Rattus norvegicus: one gene and its partner. The protein of the gene in region 2 interacts with the protein of the main gene of each other region in a pairwise test. Links are inferred from orthologs where the notes say so. Each region holds a gene or a part of one and is shown on either strand. Other genes may lie near its edges.

Region 1 (3,362 bases), on a different chromosome or scaffold from region 2:
GACAGCCACATGCTCCATGCCCTGGTTGAGGAGTGGGGCAAAGGGGAAAGGAGCAGAAAATGCCATGATTGCCTGGGGCTCCCAGACGGGTCTGAAGCCCCCTGAACCTAATGCTAGAGCCACAAGCCCTGGCCCTGAGGGCTCACACACTACTACACAGGTGGGCACACACGTGACACAAGACATTATGGAGGCGACACCAAGAAGCAGAGGGCACTGACATATTGACAGAAGAAGGAACCAAGGTTAAGCAGGTATAGCCAGAAAAGACAGTTCGGGGGCTACAGCGCCACCCCCTCCCCCCAAGAGTTCCTCAACCGTCCCCTAAATCTGGACTGCTGCTGAGCAGTCCCAAGTCTCTGCCTGTGACCAGAGCACTTGGTTCTCTAGGCCCAGGTGAGTGGCAAAGCAATCCCAGGTGAAGTCAGTGACATGACAGGCAGGTTCTGCTCTGCATGCTCAAGGCCAGAGCTCCAGCTGTCTTCAGGCACATTCATAGCCTGCTCCTCCCAGCCCTGGGGCCCTGGGAACCCACGTCCCCAGATTCCTGGGGCTGCAGTTCCCTCCTCAAGCTTCCTTTACCAGTCGGCAGCTGCAGAGATCTGTAAGGGGGAGAGCTTTCCACAGAGCACTGTACAGCTTGGATGTCAGCAAAAGGGTAAAATTTCCTGTTGCCAGAATAGAATACCCCAACTCCTTAATTTCTAGGTAAATAGAGATTATTTGCCAAAGTCCTAGATGACTCCTTTTTCAGAATAGAAAAGGCAGAATTTTATTTACATAATTCAATGGTCCTCCTGTTTCCTAGGAAGAGGCGGAGGGCAAGGTAAGGGAATGGATGGGAGTCCAGAGATGGGCACTTCCTTTCCTCACCTTTCTGTAGTTTGTTATGATGCCTGGTTGGTGGAATTCGCGATGCTTCCAAAGTCCTTCACCCTACAAATCCTTCTTTGAGGGAGTCTCTCTCCCTGACCTATAAGAACCACGTACGTTTTGGAGAGAAGAACTCTGCACCGCACTGTTCAGTCCCCTCGGGTTAAGCACTTGGAAACCCAAAGCCAGCCCGGGTAGTTGTTTCCCCGGTGGGGTCCCCCTCACAGAGAGGCCTCGCCCTCCAGCTGCAGAAGGGTAATGTCAGGCAGGTCGAGGGGCTCCACAAGTGGCCCATTCTCCCCAAGGAGACCCGGGCTCTCAGAGCGCTCGCAGTGACTGGTGGGTGTGGCGGGGCTAGCCGTCTCTTTCTCCTCCTCTTCCTCCTCGTCCTCTTCATCAGGATCTCGACCCAGCAAGCCGCTGTCCCCAATCCCAGGCGAAGGTGTTTCTGGCTCATGGGGAACACTGGGGAAGCTCCCCTTTCCGCCGGCCACGCCCAAGCCTCCCTGGCGGGGCGCAGTGGTCATAATCTGGCACATGGAGACTATGGCCCGCTGGTTGGCGCACACGTCGTCCGACAGAACCTGGATGTGCGAGGCCTGCTCGTCCAGTGCCCCTCGCATGGCCCTCACGTCCTCAAACAGGGCCTGCAGCTGGGCCTTCAGGTGCTCCATCAGTTCCTTCATACCGCCGTTATACTCCCCAGAGATCACGTCCCCCACGGCTGGCACCGTGGACACCTCCAGAGGAGCCGGCATGTCGCCGCCGTCCTTGGTCATGATCTCCAGCAGACTGTCCTCCATTGAGTGGCAGAAGCGGGCGATGGCAGCTCTGGGTCGTGTCCAGCCGGGCCTCCAGGGTGGGGGGAAGGGTGTGGAGGGGGAGAGGTCCCGGGAGGGACGGGGTGGAGCCCAGTGACACCTAGGCTCCCTAGAGGGGCGGGGAGCCGACGTGAAGAGAGCTGCACCAGGCAAAGGGCGCGGACAGGATCAAGGAGGGCTGAGAAGAGTCGACAGGACGAAGACCCGTCTAGGGTCCCGGGACGAGCGTCTTCAGGCTTTCCCAGGGGCAAAAGTGGCTTGCCCGCTCGCTTCCAGTGTGGTACCTATGTCCCTGCCGCCCTCCCGGTAATCATCAGCAAAGAGTGTCCCCCAGGTCACAGAGGCGCATGCAGAGGGGCTCGGGGTCCAGACGGGGACCCGCAGCGTGTCGGTCTCGGGACTCCCCTCGGCCATCCACCAGCAGTGCCCGCGAGTGCGGCTGGAGCGGCAGGGGCGGGTCTCCCGGCGGCGCCGCGGATGCTCCCCCGTTTCCAAGGCGACGCACGGCACGTAAATGACGTATGTCTCCATGGCAACGAGGAAGTGAAGAAGAAAAAGAACAGGGTTCCGAAGCTGCAGTGGAGCACTGTTGTATGGGCTGACGGGCGGGGCAGGGACGCTGCAGTAGCCTCAGAGAAGCTGCAAAGAGCATGTGGCTGCAATGTTTAATAGGACAGCATGAGAAAGCAGTTTGCTGCACGACCCCCACCCCCAAGCCGGAGAGGGACCGTCTGCTTTTGGGGAAGGGGTGGGCGGAGGGGTTCACCCGCTCTCCGCATTCCTTCCTCGGAGGACCGAGCGAGAGCCAGATCCTTCCGGGCCGCAGGACTGGGTAGCGATTGTTAATAATCCCAGGCGAGCTGGACGCACCAGGCCTGGCGGTGCAGAGGGAGGCGGAGGCACGACCGATCTGCCTCTCCCTTCTGCAGCATAACCAATTTTCCCTCCCTCCAGAAAGCTCAGGGTGAGATTCAGTCCCTTACGGGACCCAGCTGTTTCTATCCAGGTTGCTGAGAGTTTACGAGAATGATGAAGCTAAGTGAATTCTGAGAATGAAAACTCCATACCAACAGATTCCCCTCTTCTGCGCCCTCCATCACAGGATCCCCGGCGCTTAAAATAGCGTCCGAGACGCAGAAAGCGGATGCATAATGTATCTGTGGAATGGATACTTAAAAAAGAGCCACCAAGTACCATTCTCTTCTCCAGGATTCTCCAGAAATCTCCAGCCCACGCACAGTGGACTTCAAAAGACCTGAATACAATTTCGTTTCATTCCTTAGTGATTCGGAGACCTCAGCTGAATCATTTTCTTGATGGACCGAACTGTAGTGTTTCTAAATCTGAGTTAACACTGCACAGCCGCGCAATTGAGTGAATTATTAACGGCTGTAGGGTCAGTGCCCCTAGTACCCATGTTTAGATACCCACTAAACACCCCTGTCCTTTGTGAAAACCCCTTCCCTTACTCAGAGGGTAGAGGAGAGAAGGAGGAAGAAGAAAAATTGGTTATAATAGATTTAGAGATTACATAGACTGGGAATGTAGTCAACTTGTAGGCTATAACATGCTAATATCACTTTGATAAAAAGAAGCCAGAAGGCAAGTGATCAAAACTACTGAGTTTATAAGAATCTGGGAAGGAGAAACTTATTAACAGTGCCATCT
Region 2 (4,506 bases):
AAAAGAGAGTAAACACGACACAGGGAGGGAAGTTTATTTATCTCCCAACTCTCAACCCTTTTCTCTAAAAGCAGAGCCCGGTAGCCAAGGCCTAAGGGTCTGGAAGCCCAAGTGTCCAAGTCAGAGGCCCACACCCAGCCAGTGACAGACGAGGGCCAGTCTGTGTCAGTCAGAACTCGAGGTTCATGTATAGTCTTAGATCTCGCTCCCAGGCCCGGTCCTTCTCTTCTCGCCTTCTGTTCTCCCTCTGACTCAGCGTGCCGACTCGAGGAACTCTCTCTTTCCCAGACACAGCCCGGGTATCCCGAGCTGCAAAGTGTGTGACCCGGGGTTGGGTTGGGGATCTATAGCCCAGTCCTTCCTGGTCCCTCTTGAGGACAGTGGGAATAGGGTTGGCACGGCCTTCACCCCGGGGTCCTAGCCCCATTCCTGGTTCCCAGCCACCCCTCAGCAGCAGTCTGAAGCCAGGACTGGAAGTGGGTACCCCAAGGGGAAGGCTGGAGGGCTGGGGTCTCCTAGACAGTGACAGCAGGTGAGCAGTAGATGTGCGGTGGTTGGAGTCTTCAAAGTAGGCACCACAGTCCTCACAGAACTGGGAGGAGGAGGGGGGTGATCTGCAGAGAAAGAAATAAGTTATAGGGGAGGAAGTTGTTCAGGCACCAGGCAGAGCACCTTATGCCTTTCTCCTGATTTCAGCAGCACCTTTTTTGATTGTATCTTGTTTTGGGACCCCAGGGTCTTCCCAGTGTTAGGCAGGCGCTCTAACCAAGCTACGCCATCTCCTCTCCCTTTGTCCAGAAGGGACAACTTGGAATATGTTGGGTAGGTCTCAAGCTCTCAGGAGTAGCGAGTGGTGCTGATACTCAGAAAGTGCATACTAGCAGCAAGCACCGTCCACACTTTCCACACTGACCTGCTGCATCTAAACAGCCCTTTGAGAGAGAGTCTTATCCTCAGTTCAGACAAGGACTGAGATTCCCAGACTTTAGGCTGGCTCTGCAAATAAATGGAACCCAGATTCAAACGCACAAAGGCCACGTCTATTACCGCTCTAAGACTGAACTACTGGAAGATGAATGGCCCCTACTAGCTGCTGTGCGGCCCTTGGTAGGAGGTGTCCAGGAAAGAACACAATAAAGATGGGGCATGAGCAAAGGCTCCCTCCTCACCGGTTCTGGTTCTCGGGGCTCCTTGTCTCCCCACGACTCTCTCTGACCATGCGGGCTACCTCAGGGAAGCCTGCTTCTTCTGCCAGCTGAGCCGCGTCTCTGCCTCCCAGTTCACAGACTCCTACCCAGGCAGCCCCTCGGCCCAGGAGATAGCGCACGGCAGCGCCCTGGCCCGCTCGAGCAGCACACATCAAGGGAGTCCACCAGAAGGCGTCACGAGCATTGATATTCCCTCCAGCTCCCCCTGCCTCTTGGGGTTCCAGCAGCCTCCGGAGTTCTGTCAGATCCCCATTCTGGGCTGCCATCAGGATCCACTGGGTCACCCTGTCTTCATCCTCAAGTGCTCTTCCTTGTCTCGGGACCCCTGCTGCTACAGGCTCCCTTGCGGTAGTTCTTCTTCTCTTCCTCTTTCTCTCCCTGGTCGGTTCGGCTCTCCGGGGCTTAGGGGAACCACTCTCCTCTGCAATTAGAGCCTCATAGAAAGCCCGGGCTGCGGCCCCATCCAGGACAGGCTCTGGTTTCTCGAGCTGTGCTTGCTGTTGACCATCTTTCCAGAGGTCACTGGAGTCGGTGGCTGGAGTGAATGTGATGAGGGATGGCTTGGACATGGCTGTGGGAAAAGTGAGAAAATGAAGACCAGGCAAGGCAGGAGGATGTGCCAAGCAAGCCTACCTTTCAGGTAGCTCTTGTGAAGACCAGCACCACCTCCAGGGGCCCAGCAGCCTACAACTAAAATGGACCTTCCATCCCCACACTGACTTCATACCTAGGATTCTGTAGAGCCCAGGGCTCATGGATAAAATGTAACCCAGGAATAACTGATCCTGCCACAATGTTAATATAATTTCAGGAGGGCATGGTAGGTACCTATGTCTCTGGGTAGAATGCTCGCCCCGAATTTGAGAATTCTAGGTTCTATCTCTAACACAGAAAAGAAAAAGGATAACAGGAAAAATATTCCACAAGAATAGGGGTCTAGGGGTCCTGCGTTCAACTCCCATCTTCCTACAAAAATGCCAGGCTCTCTCTGAAATCATTTTTCCTGTCCTCTAACACATACCGTTTGAAAATATCAGTTCAGCCTTTTAAATCTTGCTCGATCTTATCTAGGGGGGGTCTCCTTTTCCCAGATAAAAAACAGGCGTGACATTATTCCGGAAGCTTTCGGGGAAAGACGCTGCACTGTCATTTCCGTACCGCAAAATGGCGCTCTCATAATCTCTAAGAGTTGATACAATCAGAGCTACAGGGAGCCATGACGCATGCGCACCAGCAACAACAACAAAACACCCACAAGGTTCAGTTTCCCGCGCTGGAACCTTTCCAAGCATCCGTGTAAAGCATCGCGTGCCCAGGAGCGCGAGGACCCAAGGGGGAACCTGTCGGTTGGGGTCCTGCTTTTACATAACGCCCCCACAATGCTCTTCGCCACCCTCGCCCTGGTCCCTCCAGCACCAAGCTCCTTTCCTGGAGCTGGGAGGCCACCCTCTGCGTTCAGAAAGACTCTGAGGACACAGAGGGGGAGACCTGTGGAATGCCGAGGAGCTGTGAGATGAAGTAACATCACGGCACCCCTCACCACTACTCTGAGCAGGGTTTGAAGAACAGTTAGGGTCCGCAGCAGGACGCTCCATCAAGCTCTGAGGAAATGGAGAAGTACAAAGGGACGAGCGGCAGAATGGCTGGCCCCACCTCAGGTTAGCGCGCAGGGCGGTCTAGATTCTCACGCCGTATGCACAGCTCAGCGCGTCCTAAGCACACCCGACCTAAGTCCCTCACCACACCTCTGCGCATGCCGGAGCCCGAGCGCGCTCTGTCGCGGGCCTGGCAGGAGAGCCAGGGTCCAGTGGGTTGGCCTGGCACGGGGAGGAGGGAGAAAAACTAAAGCGCAACGCCGAGAGAGCACCGTAGGGATGACAATCACCCCGGGCGCTAGCCCCGTAGTCTAGCCAGCCTCCTAAGACTATATTTCCCAGGCTTCCTGGTCGAGAAGACTCCGTGCTAGGCTTCCGCTTCCGGTGGCGCTCCGTTCGCCCCGCCCCCGGGCGGCTTCCTCTAGGGCCTCGCGGCCCTAGAGTCATGCGCGGGTCCTCCTGGGATTGGTAGTTTGCCTTCCCTTCATTTCGTCAGTTTCTCTCTCCTGACGGGACTACATCTCCCGGCGTCCACGGAGGTAGGGGGGCGGTCCTTAGCGCCTGCGCGTTGCTCTCTTCTCCCCCCCAACCCCTAAACCCTCACCAGTTTCCAGTCCCCCCCTCCCCACTTCGTCTGCCGCGGCCGGGTCGGCTTTTTGCGCTGTAGCGGTCTCTGCCGTTCCTTGGAAGCACAGCTCCCCTTCCCCGCCCCAGTCCCAGTCCCCGTCCGGCCGGTGAGTGTGGGGTTGTCTCCGCGCCCAGTCGCCGGTCCCTGGGCGCGGCACTCGGGTCGGTGCTCCTCGATGTGGGGGCGACGAAGGAAGTGACCGGGTCGGTAGCCGAAGGAGGTCGGGGGGCCTGGGGAGAGGAGGCGGCTTGTGGGGACGCTCGTGAGTCCCACGGAAGTGTGGTGCCCTCGCCAACCCTGCGAGGGCAGGAGAGGCCGATTCTGTTGGGTAAAATGAACTTCGGGAGCTTTGGGACAGGCGCCAGGAATATGCAGGCACCTGCGGTGGTGGGGAGCCCGAGCCGAGGGCCCTGTCGCGGCTGACATGGAGGGGAGAGGGGCCTGGCCGTGAGGAGCGCCAGGGACGGGGGTAACACTAACAGATCAGGACCTGTCATTTTCTGGAAAGTAGCGGAACTCGTTCTCAGCACACTGTAAGGGGGGGCCGAGCTAAAGGAGAGGAGCTTGGAGATGCTTCAGAGGCCGGGATCCTTTAAGCCCGGCTGGACTCGGATTCATCCGTCGTTGTGGAGAACGTGTGGGAGGAGGGAAGAGACCAGAAACAGCTTGGTCTCCACTTACTTAGGCTCTTCTTTCTCAGCGGACATAAAGATGAGTAGCTCTGAGGAGGTGTCCTGGATTTCCTGGTTCTGTGGGCTCCGTGGTAATGAATTCTTCTGTGAGGTGAGTTTAGGTCGGCCAACTCCACATGCCCTCGATGTTTGATTTTACGTCGTTTGAGAGCAGATTTCGATCGAGCTCACTATGCAGACTAGACTGGCCTTGAACTCCTGGCAATCCTACCGGCCGCCTCCTGAGTGCTAGTATTGTGAGGGTTTGTCAATATGCATGGCTAACAGAGGTGTCTCTGGTGACCATTAGGGCAGTTAAAACCTCTCATGTCAAAGTTGTGTAACGTGCAAAGCACGGTGTGCTAAGGTAGAAAATTATAAATACCTTTCAGAAACTAAACTAC

What was found.
Region 1: the proteins of Gpank1 (region 2) and Ccdc184 interact in binary tests that used the Homo sapiens proteins (3 or more experiments, as listed by UniProt). The two-hybrid records come from large-scale screens. The link is inferred for Rattus norvegicus from reciprocal best matches to the Homo sapiens genes GPANK1 and CCDC184.

Annotation. Positions count from the first base shown.
Region 1 is NC_086025.1:131,177,521-131,180,882, reverse strand, and holds Ccdc184 (coiled-coil domain-containing protein 184), read right to left. Parts: upstream 2,152-3,362; 5' UTR 1,677-2,151; coding exon 1,095-1,676; 3' UTR 747-1,094; downstream 1-746.
Region 2 is NC_086038.1:3,702,305-3,706,810, forward strand, and holds Gpank1 (G patch domain and ankyrin repeat-containing protein 1), read right to left. Parts: upstream 3,049-4,506; 5' UTR 2,964-3,048; coding exon of another isoform or gene 2,954-2,963; 5' UTR 2,867-2,953; coding exon of another isoform or gene 2,818-2,866; exon of another isoform or gene 2,501-2,817; coding exon of another isoform or gene 2,464-2,500; intron 1,780-2,463; coding exon of another isoform or gene 1,778-1,779; coding exon 1,170-1,777; intron 997-1,169; coding exon of another isoform or gene 954-996; exon of another isoform or gene 914-953; intron 615-913; coding exon 170-614; 3' UTR 5-169; downstream 1-4. Other genes in the region: Csnk2b (casein kinase II subunit beta), read left to right, coding at 2,818-2,866, 4,132-4,214.